Linked DNA regions of Anolis sagrei. The protein of the gene in region 1 purifies or fractionates together with the protein of each later gene. This does not show direct contact. Links are inferred from orthologs where the notes say so. Each region holds a gene or a part of one and is shown in the gene's direction. Other genes may lie near its edges.

Region 1 (6,947 bases):
AGCTCCATCCTTGCAAAATGACACATAATGTAACAATTTTTTCCCTGGGTTATAAATGTTATTTCCTAATTGGAATTATGATAAAAAAAACATGGAAAAGGTTTGTTATTTGTTTTTGCAGGACATCCTGCAGTACATTTTGCTATAGTTTTCCAATGAATATCTCATACGGTCTCAGCCAATTCAACATTGTCTGTGGCAGCCACAAAAATGAAGTTTCTCGGGTATAGCAACTACTTTCAAAGCCCCCTTCCACACAGCTGAATAAAAAACCCCATTATCTGCTTTGAGCTGGAATATATGGAAGTGTGGATTCTGATAACCCAGTTCAAAGCAGATATTGTGGGATTTTCTGCCTTGATATTCTGGGTTATATGGAGGTGTGGAAGAGCCCAAAGTAAGTTCTGCACAAGTAAACAGGAAATAATGCTTTCAAACCAAGAACAGAACATTTTTCATTTTTTTTCCAAACAGTGTAATCATTGAACTGTTTGCTTCTCCTGTGTGCAAATCCTATCCCATGGACACAATAGATTTATGCTAGAAAGACTTAAGTCACTGATGCATTGGCTATGATGATGATGATGATGATGATGATGATAATAATAATACAACAGCCAGCGATCTTGTTTGCTGTGTACAAATCTTGTTGCATTTCTAATAATAATAATAATAATAATAATAATAATAATAAAGTCAACGACAGATCCCAAGTGTAGACTCTGCAAGGAAGCAGAGGAAACAATAGATCACATCTTCAGCTGATGCAAGAAGATCACTACAAGTAGAGGCATAACACCGTTGCGTAGATGATTCATTCGAACTTGTGCCACAAATACCATCTGCCTGTGACAAAGAACTGGTGGAATCACAGGCCGGAAAAAAGTTATAGAAAATGAACACACCAAACGCTTTTGGGACTTCTGAATTCAGACAGAGTTTTGGAGCACAGGACTCCTGACCTCACGATCATGTTACAAAACAGAGTGTGGATGTTGCAATCCCAGACGACAGCCGGATTTAAGAGAAGCAACTGGAAAGGCTGACACAATATGAAGATTTAAAGATTGAACTGCAAAGACTCTGGCACAAGCCAGTCAAGGTGGTCCCAGTGGTGATCGGCACATTGGGTGCAGTGCCTAAAGACCTTAGCCTGTACTTAAACACAATTGATGCTGACAAAATTACCATCTGCCAGCTGCAGAAGGCCACCTTACTGGGATCTGCACGCATTATTTGCCGATACATCACACAGTCCTAGACACTTGGGAAGTGTCCGACGTGTGATCCAATACAACAGCCAGCAGAGTGTCCGCTGTGGACTCATCTTGTACTGTTTCAAATAATAATAATAATAATAATAATAATAATAATAATAATAATACACAGTCCTAGACGCTTGGGAAGTGTTTGATACGAAATCCAGGATATAGATCTCATTTGCTGTGACATACTGTATTTTTGTGTCAGTAAAATAATAATACCATTATTTATAAAGGTATTATTATTGCCCCTCTAGCCGAAGATTTTAATATATTTTTTTTAAAAAGGAAACTCATGGGTACTCTCTAATATAAGGTTACAATATCTTAAGGCCCTCCCAGACAGGCCCTCTATCCCAGGACCTGATCCCAGGTTTTCAGTTTATCCCAGATTATCTGGCAGTGTGGACTCATATAATCCAGTTTAAAGCAGAAAACCTGGGATCAGATCCTGGGATAGAGGGCCTGTCTGGTGCCCCTTCCACACAGCTGAATAAAATCCCACATTATCTGCTTTGAACTGGACTATATTGCAGTGTGGGATCAGATAACCCAGTCCAAAGCAGATATTGTGGGATTTTCTGCCTTGATATTCTGGGGTATAGGGCTGTGTGGAAGGGCCCTGAGCCTAGAAGCCTGAGCCTAGAACCCTTCCGCTTCCTCCGAGCCAGATCTGCAGGTGGATCCTCCCTCCCTCCCCCTCCCCTCCCGGGGATCCTTTTTAACTTTCGCTTTCTCTGCCTGAGGCTTTTCCTCTACAAGCCTCTGTTTCCCAGAAACCACGTGGCGGCGGCTGTTCCCTGGAACGCGCCACCTCCCTCCCCTGCCCTTGCGGCCACTGCTCTCCCCCCCCCCCCCCCCGCGCTCTTAGCTTTTTTTTTGTCTTTCCAGGAAAATCAGGAGAATTATTTTTGTTGTCAGGCCAGGAAGACTTGTTGCGGTTTGCAAATGTTTACCTTGACAGCTCCTCAATGCGAGTTCGAGCCTTAAGAAGAGGCAGATAAATAATAATTATTATTATAATTATTATAATTATTATTATTATTAGTCAGCGCCAATTGTGTTTAAGCACAGGCCAAGGTCTTTAGGCACTGCACCCAGTGTGCCAATTCTGATTGTGTTGGTCAGTGACTGGATCTCAATTTCTGATTTTCCTTAAAGCTGTAGATCATCCATATACAACAAGTGGGACATTTTTGGTGAATTTCTTGCTGTTTGGTAGCCCAGATTTGTTGTTGTTGTTGTTATTGTTGTTGTTATTTTATTTGAAACACAACAAGATGAGTGCACAGCAGACACTCTGCTGGCTGTTGTATTGGATCACACGTTGGACACTTCCCAAGTGTCTAGGACTGTGTGATGTATCGGCACAGATTGTATTTAAGTGCAGGCCAAGGTCTTTAGGCACTGCACCCAGTGTGCCAATCACCACTGGGACCACCTTGACTGGCTTGTGCCAGAGTCTTTATACTGTGTGATGTATCGGCGCCAATTGTTTTTAAGTGCAGGCCAAGGTCTTTAGGCACTGCACCCAGTGTGCCGATCACCACTGGGACCACCTTGACTGGCTTGTGCCAGAGTCTTTGCACTTTGATCTTTAAATCCTATTATTATCGGACACTTCCCAAGTGTCTAATACTGTGTGATGTATTGGCGCCAATTGTGTTTAAGCACAGGCCAAGGCACTGCACCCAGTGTGCCGATCACCACTGGGACCACCTTGACTGGCTTGTGCCAGAGTCTTTGCACTTTGATCTTTAAATCCTGTTGTTGTTGTTGTTGTTGTTGTTGTTGGGTGTATACTACTCTGACATCACTTTAACTGCCATGATGGAGCAATACTATGGATTCACGAGAGTTGTAATTTTACAAGATCTACAGACCCCAGGACTCCATAGCATTGAATCATGGAAGTCATGGGAGTTGCATTCCAACAGAAAGTTGCTGTTTTGTATCTGTTCCCATGCATGCGACATTGAAGGTCCCATGTTGTTGTTGTTGTTGTTATTATTAATGTTTATATTTTAATAATATAATATTAACATAATATTACAATATAAGAAATCCTCATCATGGTAATTTTTGACTAAACATAAGGGAAATCCACCCTGGAAATAAAAATAAATGTATTCATTCTCAAAGGCTTTCATGGCCAGAATAAGTGGATTGCTGTGAGTTTTCTGGGCTGTAAGGCCATGTTCCAGAAGCATTCTCTCCTGACGTTTCACCTGCATCCTCAAAGGCTGTTGGAAACTAGAAAAATGGGGTTTATATATCTGTGGAATGTCCTGCACACCCTGGACATTATTCCACAGATATATATCACTTGTTCTAGTTTCCAACAGACCTCACAATATCTGAGGTTGCCTGCTTTAGATGCAGGCGAAACGTCAGGAGAGAATGCTTCTGGAACATGGCTTTACAGCCTGGAAAACTCACAGCAACCCATAAATGTCTATGTTTTCAGGCGCGGATGGAAGGATTTTGGCCAAAAAAAGGTAATAAAACTAAATTAAACTGACAACTCTGCTGTTTGCATCAATGACAAGCCAGAAGAGGGAGGAGGAGAAGTTGCAGGAACAGCGGTATTCCATCAAGAGGCGGCGGTCTTTCCGGATTGGTTGAGCCTAGCTGCCAGCCTCTTTTTGATTGGTCGCCTGCCTCTCGCAGTTTGCTATTTCCTGGTCAGAGGCAGTTTCGTTTTCTACAGAAGCAGAGAAGGAAGGAAAGGAGAGGCAGTGCTGCTGTGGTTGTGTGTCCGATTGTGGAGTGGGAAAACTGTGAGGTGAGTGCTGCACCTACCTTTTGAATTAATGCAATTGGATCCCCTCTCCTTTAATTGCTATGGGGTGCATCTACACTGGAGAAAAATAATGCAGTTTGGCACTTCTCTAACTGACCAGGCTCAGTTCTCTGGAATCAGGGGAGTTGTAGTTTTGCAAGGTCTAAAGCTTTCTCTGCCAAAGAGTGCTGGTGCCTCACCAAACTACAAATCCAGGCATTCCTTGAGCCATGGAAAGTGAAGTCAAACTGCATCCATCCTGCAGTATAGATGCACTCCCAGTTCAAAGCAGATAATGTGGCTGTGTGGAAGGGCCCTTAGACTTCCCTCAGGGCCCTTCCATACAGCTACATAACCCAGAATATCAAGACAGAAACATCCCACAATATATTCTTTGAACTGGGTTATCTGAGTCCACACTGCCACATATCCCAGTTCAAAGCAGATAATGTGGGACTTTATTCAGCTGTGTAGAAGGGGCTTCTGGTCCCATCTACACTGATACATAAAATCCAGGTTATCAATGCAGGTCATCCACATTGTCTGCTTTGAACTGGATTATTTGAGTCTACACTGCCATATATTCCAGTTCAAAGCAGATAATATGGGATTGTATTCAGCTGCGTAGAAGGGGCTCCTGGTCCCATCTACACTGATATATAAAATCCAAGTTATCAGTGCAGTTCATCCACATTGTCTGCTTTGAACTGGATTATCTGAGTCTACACTGCCATATATTCCAGTTCAAAGCAGATAATATGGGATTTTATTCAGCTGTGTGGAAGGGGCTCCTGGTCCCATCTACACTGATATATGAAATCCAGGTTATCAATGCAGATCATCCACATTGTCTGCTTTGAACTGAATTATTTGAGTCTACATTGCCATGTAATCCAGTTCAAAGCAGCTAGGCTCAAAGCAGATAATCTGTATGCTGTATGGAGTGTTGCAGAGGCATCAGAGATCTGTTAGTTCTTAATGAATGTAGAGATGTCTGGGTTGTTGTAGGGTTTTTGGGCTATGTGGCCATGTTCTAGAGGCATTCTCTCCTGACGTTTCGCCTGCATCTATGGCAAGCATCCGCAGAGGTAGTGAGACCTCTGAGGATGCTTGCCATAGATGCAGGCAAAACGTCAGGAGAGAATGCCTCTAGAACATGGCCATATAGCCCCAAAAAACCTACAACAACCCAGTGATTCCGGCCATGAAAGCCTTCGACAATACATTGTAGAGCTGTCTTTTCATGACATCTGGTCGCCCATTTAAGATTACCTGCTTATCCCAGCCTTTCGTATGTTCTACTTTCTTGTGTTCCAGGGGCATGTAATTGCCAAATCCAACTTTTTGGAGTACATTTATTTTTAATGTTCATATTTCATGCAGATGGCAGGTGTGGCATTCTGGGGTTGAGCAGCCTTGTCAAAGCATCAGTTATTGTTTTCAGAGAAGTAGCCTAAAAGGAGAAAGGGAGGAGTACAACAACTGGTACACGGCAGAATCTTTAAGACTGATTTTTTGGATATTCATGAAGGACATGTGTCAGATAAGAATCATTTGATCTTAAAGGTGCCACCTATATGTCTTTCCCCTCCTTCCCTTTTCTTGTTATTTGCCTTCAAGTGCAGCCAGACCTTTGGATAATCTCAAAACAGGTTACTCTTGGCAAGAACTGTTCCATGTGTTGCCAAAGGCTTTCATGGCCAGAATCACTGGTTGCTGTCATTTTTCCAGGCTGTTTGGCCATGTTCCCGAAGCATTCCCTATTGACATTTTGCGTACATCTATGGCTGGCATCCTCAGAGGTTGCGAGGTTTGTTGGAAACTAGGCAAGTTGGGTTTATATATCTGTGGAATATCCAGGGTGGGAGAAAGGACTCTTGTCTGTTGGAGGCAAGTGTGAATCTTGCAATTGGCTATCTTGGTTAGCATTTAATAGCCTTGCAGCTTCAATGCCTGGCTGCTTCCTGCCAAGGGGAATCCAGAAAACACCCAGAAAATTGGAATTCCAGATATGAAACAATCAGAGCCAGCTAACACCTCCCAACAAAGGATACACCAGTCAGGAAGCAGCCAGACTTTGAAACTGCAGGGCCATTCAGTGTGAATCAAGGTAGCCAGTTGCAACATTCACACTTACCACAAGCAGACAAGAGTTCTTTTTCCCACCCTGGACATTATTCCACAGATACATAAACCTCACTTGCCTAGTTTCCAACAGAACCCTCAACCTCTGAGGATGCCTACCATAGATGTGAGTGAAACTTCAGGAGGGAATGCTTCTGGAACATGGCCAGATATCCCCGAAAACTCACATCAACCCAAGATCTATTCCGATGTCCACCTCTGAATATATAGTCTTGACCACTTTCTGTTCCCTGCCATTTATATATATATATATATTGTCATGTCAGAAGCAACTTGAGAAACTGCAAGTCGCTTCTGGTGTAGAAAATTGACTGTCTGCAAGGACGTTGCCCAGGGGATGCCTGGATGTTTTGATGTTTTTAGCATCCTTGTAGGAAGCTTCTCTCATGTCCCTGCATGAGGAGCTGGAGCTTAGTCCCCTTCTACACAGAAGAATAAAATCCCACATTGAACTGGAATATATGGCAGTGTGGACTCCGATATGCCAGTTAAAGCAGATATCATGAAATTTTCTGCCTTGATATTCTGTGTTATATACTACTGTGTTAGATACTACTGTGTTAGATACTACTACTGATGCATGTTTCTGAGTCAATTATTCTTTTCATGGGTGATTGTAATCCTGGATCAATTTTGTAATCTAGACAAACAACAAAACAGTCCTGTGGCAATAATAATAATAATAATAATAATAATAATAATAATAATAAATGTTTATATTTTAATACTATAATATTAATATAATATTAAAATATAAA
Region 2 (6,865 bases), on another chromosome or scaffold:
ATCAACAGTTGTCATTATTTGCTGTCATGTGAATGCTATATGGAAGACAGCAAAACAGTTCTGCTCAGACCTTGCAAATTCAGCAGCCATGGCTCCTATGACCGAATCCATCCAGTTGCAGTGCAATCTTCTATGAGTTCCATTAAGTACCTTCGTGTCACGATACGTTCAAAGTATAGAGGCCTCAGTTTTACCATTATTTTAGGTGACACCAAAATAATGGCCTATAAAATGTTGGGGAAGTGTTTCCGCAGAAATGTATTCTTCTTTTAAAATATTTTGTGGTGAAATGCAACCACAAAACGATGTTTCCATAAGCTCAGCTTCACATATCAACATAGCAGACAGAGTTTTCCTATTCCTTTATCTAATTTGTTGTCAACCCACTCCATTGGGGCTCACACAAATCTACCATTTGTCAAAATATATATGATCCTGTGCAATTCCTTCCAATTTCTGGCCGATATATATATAAGCACACACACATATATTCCTACTAGCCGTCCCCTGTCACACATTGCTGTGGCCCAGTCTATGTATATGTGTTTATGTTTGTATATGTGTGTTTACGTATGTATATGTGGTTTTGGCATGCGTTGCAATGTAAATTTTGTTTTTTGGCTTTTTAAGTCCCTTCTACTGTGTTTGTCAGTGTTTTTATGAGTGATGGTCACTTGTTGGCATGAGAGGTGTCTTGTGTCCAGATTTGGTGTCAATTCATCCAGTGGTTTTTGAGTTATGTTAATCCCACAAACTAACATTACATTTTATTTATGTAGATACTAGCTCTCCCCTGCCACGCATTGTTGTGGCCGTCTGATGACCTGGAAAATCAAGTAATGAGAAAGTGCTGGTTTCTAATATATGTAATGTCTTTATGCTTGTGGGTCAACAGTATTTCTTGCTGTTTCTTTGTCAGTGTTGATGTGGAGATTGTCTGATTTGCCTACTTTGGAACATGCAAGATGGAAATTGTCCTTCTTTAGGGGTCCCTTTCAAATCTATACTATATCTCTCTGTGTGTGAATCTATCTAATCTATGGCTGGATGGCTCTTTGTCAGGAGGGCTTTGATTACGTTTTCTTGACCTGGTGGAGGGAGTTGGACTGGATGGCCTTCAGTATGGGGGTTCCGTGTGGGAAGTTTGCCCCAATTCTGTCGTTGGTGGGGTTCAGAATGATCTTTGATTGTAGGTGAACTATAAATCTCAGTAACTACAACTCCCAAATGGCAATGTCCCTCAAACTCCATCTGTGTCCATATTTGGGCTTATGGAACATTCATGCCAAGTTTGGTCCAGATCCATCAATATTTGAATCCACAGTGCTCTCTGGATGGAGGTGAACTACAATTCCAAAACTCAGGGTCAATGCCCACCAAACCCTTTCAGTATTTTCTGTTGTCATGGGAGTTCTGTGTGCCAAGTTTGGTTCAGTTCCATTGTTGGTGGAGTTCAGAATGCTCTTTGATTATAGGTGAACTATAAATCCCAGGAACTACAACTCCCAAATAACAAACTCAATTTTTTGAGTGATGGTAACTCCTTGGGTTAGTAGGTGCTGTGGCCGACCTTCCCTCCCTCTTTCTCTCTCAACTTCCTTCCTTCTCTCCCTCTTTCCTTCATGCCTTCCTTTTTTCCTTTCCATCTCACTTTCCTCCCTCCTTTTCTTTTATTTTCCTTCTTTCTCTCCTTTCTTCCTTCTCTCCCTTTCCTTCCTTTGCTCTTCGCTTCCATCCTTCCTTCTCTCTTTCCTGCTTTCTTTCTCTCCCTCCCTCTTTCTTTCTCTCCTTTCTTTGCTGCTTCCCTTCCTTCCCTGCTTTACCTCTTGCCTGGGTGCTGGAAGGAAGGATCCTCGGAGCCAGGCGCAGAGCAGGCGAGAGGGAGGCGCTTCTTTCTGCCATGGCTGTGGGATGCCTCTCGAGCTGGCTGTGCTCGTGCGGCGGGGATGGGGGAGAAGATAATGCGTTTGGATGCATGCACAGTGTTCTCTTTTAAAATTTAAGGTCTTGCTGTTTTTTGGGAGGATTTTTTTTGAGTGCAGAACATAGATTGCTCTGAATGCTGTGTTCTGTCCAAATTTGGTGTCAATTCCCCCAGTGGTTTTTGAGTTCTGTCAATATCACAAACGAACATTACATTTTTATTTGTAAAAGTCCAAACTCTTTGCCATGGCTGTGGTGAGGTAAAAGCGAGGCCTTTATCTTGAATACAGTCAACTGTTTTTTTGCAGTCTGTGGGCTCCACAAATCCTCAAAGGAGTCTATTTTTCCGATTCCGATTTGTGGTGGATCTACTCATGCAAATCTACCATTTGTCTTAATATATATGATTTTATGCTATTCTTTTCCATTTCTGGCCTATATAGACATATATAGAGACTCCCAAAGGACAGTCCTGATTATTCGCCATGGCCGTGGTGAGGTAAAAGTGGGGCCTTTATCTTGAATACAGTCAACTATTTTTTTCAGTCTGTGGGCTCCACAAATCCTCAAAGGAGTCCATTTTTCCGATTCCGATTTGTGATGGATCCACTCATGCAAATCTACCATTTGTCATAATATATATGATCCTATGCTATTCTTTTCCATTTCTGGCCTATATAGACATATATAGAGACTCCCAAAGGACAGTCCTGATTCTTCGCTAAGGATGTGGGGAGGTAAAACTGAGGTCTTTATCTTGAATACAGTCAACTGTTTTTTTGCAGTCTGTGGGCAAACAATTTTTCCTATTCTGATTTGTCGTTGATCCATTCCATGGGCTTAGAATCATAGAATCAAAGAGTTGGAAGGGAACTCATGGCCATCCAGTCCAACCCCCTGCCAAGAAGCAGGAATATTGCATTCAAATCACCCAGCCTGTTTAAAAGCTTCCAAAGAAGGAGCCTCCACCACACTCCGAGGCAGAGAGTTCCACTGCTGAACAGCTCTCATCAGGAAGTTCTTCCTCATGTTCAAATGGAATCTCCTCTCTTGAAGTTTGAAGCCATTGTTCTGCGTCCTAGTCTCCAAGGAAGCAGAAAACAAGCTTGGTCCCTCCTCCCTGTGGCTTCCTCTCACATATTTATACATGGCTATCATGTCTCCTCTCAGCCTTCTCTTCTTCAGGCTAAACATGCCCAGTTCCTTAAGCCGCTCCTCATAGGGCTTGTTCTCCAGACCCTTGATCATTTTAGTCGCACTCCTCTGGATACATTCCAGCTTGTCATCATCTCTCTTGAATTGTGGTGCCCAGAATTGGACACAATATTCCAGGTGTGGTCTAACCAAAGTGGAATAAAGGGGTAGCATTACTTCCCTAGATCTAGACACTATGCTCCTATTGATGCAGGCCACAATCCCATTGGCTTCATGCAAAACTACCATTTCTCATGACATATATGATCCTGTGCTATTCTTTTCCATTTCTGGCTTATGTAGATATATATAGAGACTCCCAAAGGACAGTCCCGACTCTTCTCCATGGATGTGGTGAGGTAAAAGCGAGGCCTTTATCTGGATCACAGTCAACTTGAGGCTCTTTTTCCTTCACAAGCCTGGAATCCAGTGGCTAGGCGCGCTTCTTTCTGCGCATGCGCCTTCCCAGAACCAGCCTGAAGTTCTCCTCAACACCCCTTCAAAACGCCATTGACTTCATCCTCACCGTGGTTATGAGGAAAATGAATGTAATATGTGTACAATATCGAGAAGTCTGGGTTACGGGGCGACGGAGGGGGGGGGGGGGGGTTGGGACTCCTTTCCCGCCTCGGGTCCCAACCCCGCTTTGAGGCGGGACCCAAACAAAATGGCGGCAGGCGCGGCGGCGCCGATTCAAACGCAGCGCGCGCAGGCCGAGGCGGCGGAGGGGGCGGGGTTCTCGGTGGAGCCCACTGCGCATGCGCCCCGCGATTCAAGATGGCGGACAGTGCGGAACTAAAGGTAAAGGCGCAGTTCGGAAGGGGCCCCCTTTTCCCCCCGCAGCTTCCTTCTCCTCGTCCCCCCTGCTTGATTCCCCCTCTCCCCTTCTTTCTCTCCGGTTCTTTCCCTCAGGCTTCGGGCCTTTCCCTTCCTCTCGACCCTCCGCCGGCCTCCTGGCCTGAGAGGGAGAAAGGAGAGTTCGGCTGAGGGAGGAAAAGGCGTTCAGGAGGGGCAGCTTCCCTTCTCTTCCCTCAGGAGCTTTGTAAATGGGAGGGAGACCCCTAGGAGGCCCCCCTGGCCCCCCAAAGGAGCTGTTTCCCTCAGGAAGGGTCTTCCCTGCCGCCCTGCGAGGTAGGACACGCATTCTCTATTTCCTCCCGTTTCAGAAACTGGCTTCATAGATCCCTGGCAGGCAATATTGATTTATTTACTTATCTGAGTCGATTTGTACCCCGCTTTTCTCCCGCACCAAGGCGAGACGCAAATGCAATAAGAACAACAACTAATACTCCAGAGCAGGCATGGGCAAATTCGACCCTCCAAGTGTTTTGGACTACAACTCCCACAATTCCTAAGTTTTCCCATGCCTGGTCCAGATCAAGGGAAGTCTTAGTGCCTTTGTATTCTGCTTTGGTCAGACCTCACATGGAATTCTGTGTCCAATTCTGTTCACCACAGTTCAAAAGAGATAAAGGTTAAACAGGCATTCGGTTAAACAGTGCAATGAATACGATGAATATAGGAACGGAATCACGGATGACGAATTGGACTACGATTCTAGTTACGAGACGTTAATGTGTTGTTATTGATGTGTTATTACTTTTATACTATGCTGTTAATGGTTTTTAAACTATGCTGTTGGACTGACTTTTTGATCTTGTTGTGAACCGCGTTGAGTCGCCTACGGGCTGAGAAACTGCGGTATACAAGCAAAGTAAGTAAGTAAGTAAATAAATAAAGTGCTGGTTTTGACCTATAAAGCTCTATACCAGTGGTTCTCAACCTGGGGTCCCCAGATGTTTTTGGCCTTCAACTCACAGAAATCCTAACCAATGATAAACTGGTTGGGATTTCTGGGAGTTTTATTTATTTATTTATTTACGGCATTTATATGCCGCCCTTCTCACCCCGAAGGGGACTCAGAGTGGCTTACAATATATATTTTCATACAATATATTATATTAGCATAGTACAATATCAGTATATATTGCTATATTGCACTATACCATTATATTGTAATATTATTAGTAATATTACATGTAATGTAAATATATAATTATAATTATAATATTGAATTATTATTACTAGTATTATATTGTATTACATTATAATGTTATAAATATTATATGTATATACAATATACTATATTATATTATTAGTAAATACAAGATGGAAATGTCTTCTGCTCCCTTCTGTCTTCGCTCTGGCCAGAAGCGAAGTTGTTGGAATTGTAGGCCAAAAACATCTGGGGACCCCAGGTTGAGAACCACTGCTCTATACGGTTCTGAACCAGCTTACTTATTCGAACGCATCCACCCCTATGTCCCTCCTCGAAACCTAAGATCATCCGGGGAGGCCCTGCTCTCGCTCCCGTCAACAGCACAAATGCGCCTGGTGAGGACGAGAGACAGGGCCTTCTCAGCAGTGGCCCCCCGCCTATGGAATACACTCTCAACTGAGGTAAGATCGGCCACTTCCCTCCTAGCTTTTCGTAAGAAATTAAAGGCATGGTTTTGGGGCTAGGCTTTTGGACAATAGATGCAAGCAGCACTTTAAGGGAATGTGCCTGGAATGATGATATGGCTGATGAGACTGTTTTACTGTTTTGACAATGGCTTATGTATTGTTATTTATGCTTTTATGTCTAATTGTGGTTTTAATTTTGTAATTTGTTATGTAGTCGCTTCGGAATGGGGCCGTTCTGAGTCGGCCCCATGGGGCCGTCCTTCTCAACCTTCAGGGGTTGAGAAGGATGGGATAGAAATGCGAGAAATAAATAAATAAATAATATTGACTCTAAGCTTGGTCACCCACCAGAGGAGGGTGACCAAAATGATCAAATATCTGGTGTCTTGTTTAGTTTGAAAAAAGAGAAAGTTGAGAGGAGACATGAAAGCCATGTATCAATATGTGAAAGGATGTCATAAGAGAGGAGGGAGCCGGCATCCTTTCTGCTGCCTCGGAGACTAGGACTCAGTGGAGTAATGAGTTCAAATGACAGGAAAGGAGATTCCACCTGAACACGAGGAAGAACTTCTTGATTGTAAGAAGGGCTGTTCATCAGTGGAACTCTCTGTCATGGAGTCTGCTGGAAGCTCCTTCCTTGGAAACTTTTAAATAGATGCTGGGTGGCCATCTGTCAGGGGTACTTTGTGCTTTTCATGCATGGCAGGGGGTTGGACTAGATGGCCTGTGTGAATCTATGATAATTATTATCTTCAAACTTTATTTATATCCCATCCCATCTCCCTCTGGGGACTCAGGGTGGCTTACAACATAGATGGCAACCATTCGATGCCACACAAATACATAACAAAATACAAATACATAATAAATTAAAAATACAAATAATTAAACAATTTATCATAATGAAACATCATAACAAATCAACAAAACATGATTCACGGCAACAATTAAAAGCAAGATTAAAAGCCAGGTTGATAGATTAAAAACCATATTTTTCATTAAAGCTCTATCTGTAGACCATTAATTGTGTAGAAAGCCAGATATTGAAATGTTTGATTCTCCATAAACCTGGGAGCATAGATAACTTTTAGTTGTTTTTTGAAAGAGGGGAGCATGGGGGTCATTCTGATCTCTTTTGGGTGAGGGTTTCAGAGGTGAGGGCAACTACAGAGAGGCCCTTTCTCTCATCCCAACCAGCTGGAAGGCCAAGAGGAGGGTCTCACTTGATGAATGCAGTGTCTGGACAGGTTCATATGAGGAGAGGCCGGTGGCCAGGTAGTAA

What was found. The genes of interacting proteins can lie anywhere in the genome.
Region 2: the proteins of STAT1 (region 1) and PIAS1 purify together in Homo sapiens (affinity purification with western blotting; 5 studies listed by BioGRID). This does not show direct contact. The link is inferred for Anolis sagrei from reciprocal best matches to the Homo sapiens genes STAT1 and PIAS1.

The regions. Positions count from the first base shown.
Region 1 is NC_090021.1:182,696,517-182,703,463, forward strand, and holds the start of STAT1 (signal transducer and activator of transcription 1-alpha/beta), read left to right. Parts: upstream 1-3,943; 5' UTR 3,944-4,047; intron 4,048-6,947. UniProt on the Homo sapiens protein: Signal transducer and transcription activator that mediates cellular responses to interferons (IFNs), cytokine KITLG/SCF and other cytokines and other growth factors.
Region 2 is NC_090029.1:24,240,714-24,247,578, reverse strand, and holds the start of PIAS1 (E3 SUMO-protein ligase PIAS1), read left to right. Parts: upstream 1-3,845; 5' UTR 3,846-3,894; coding exon 3,895-3,918; intron 3,919-6,865. UniProt on the Homo sapiens protein: Functions as an E3-type small ubiquitin-like modifier (SUMO) ligase, stabilizing the interaction between UBE2I and the substrate, and as a SUMO-tethering factor. Catalyzes sumoylation of various proteins, such as CEBPB, MRE11, MTA1, PTK2 and PML.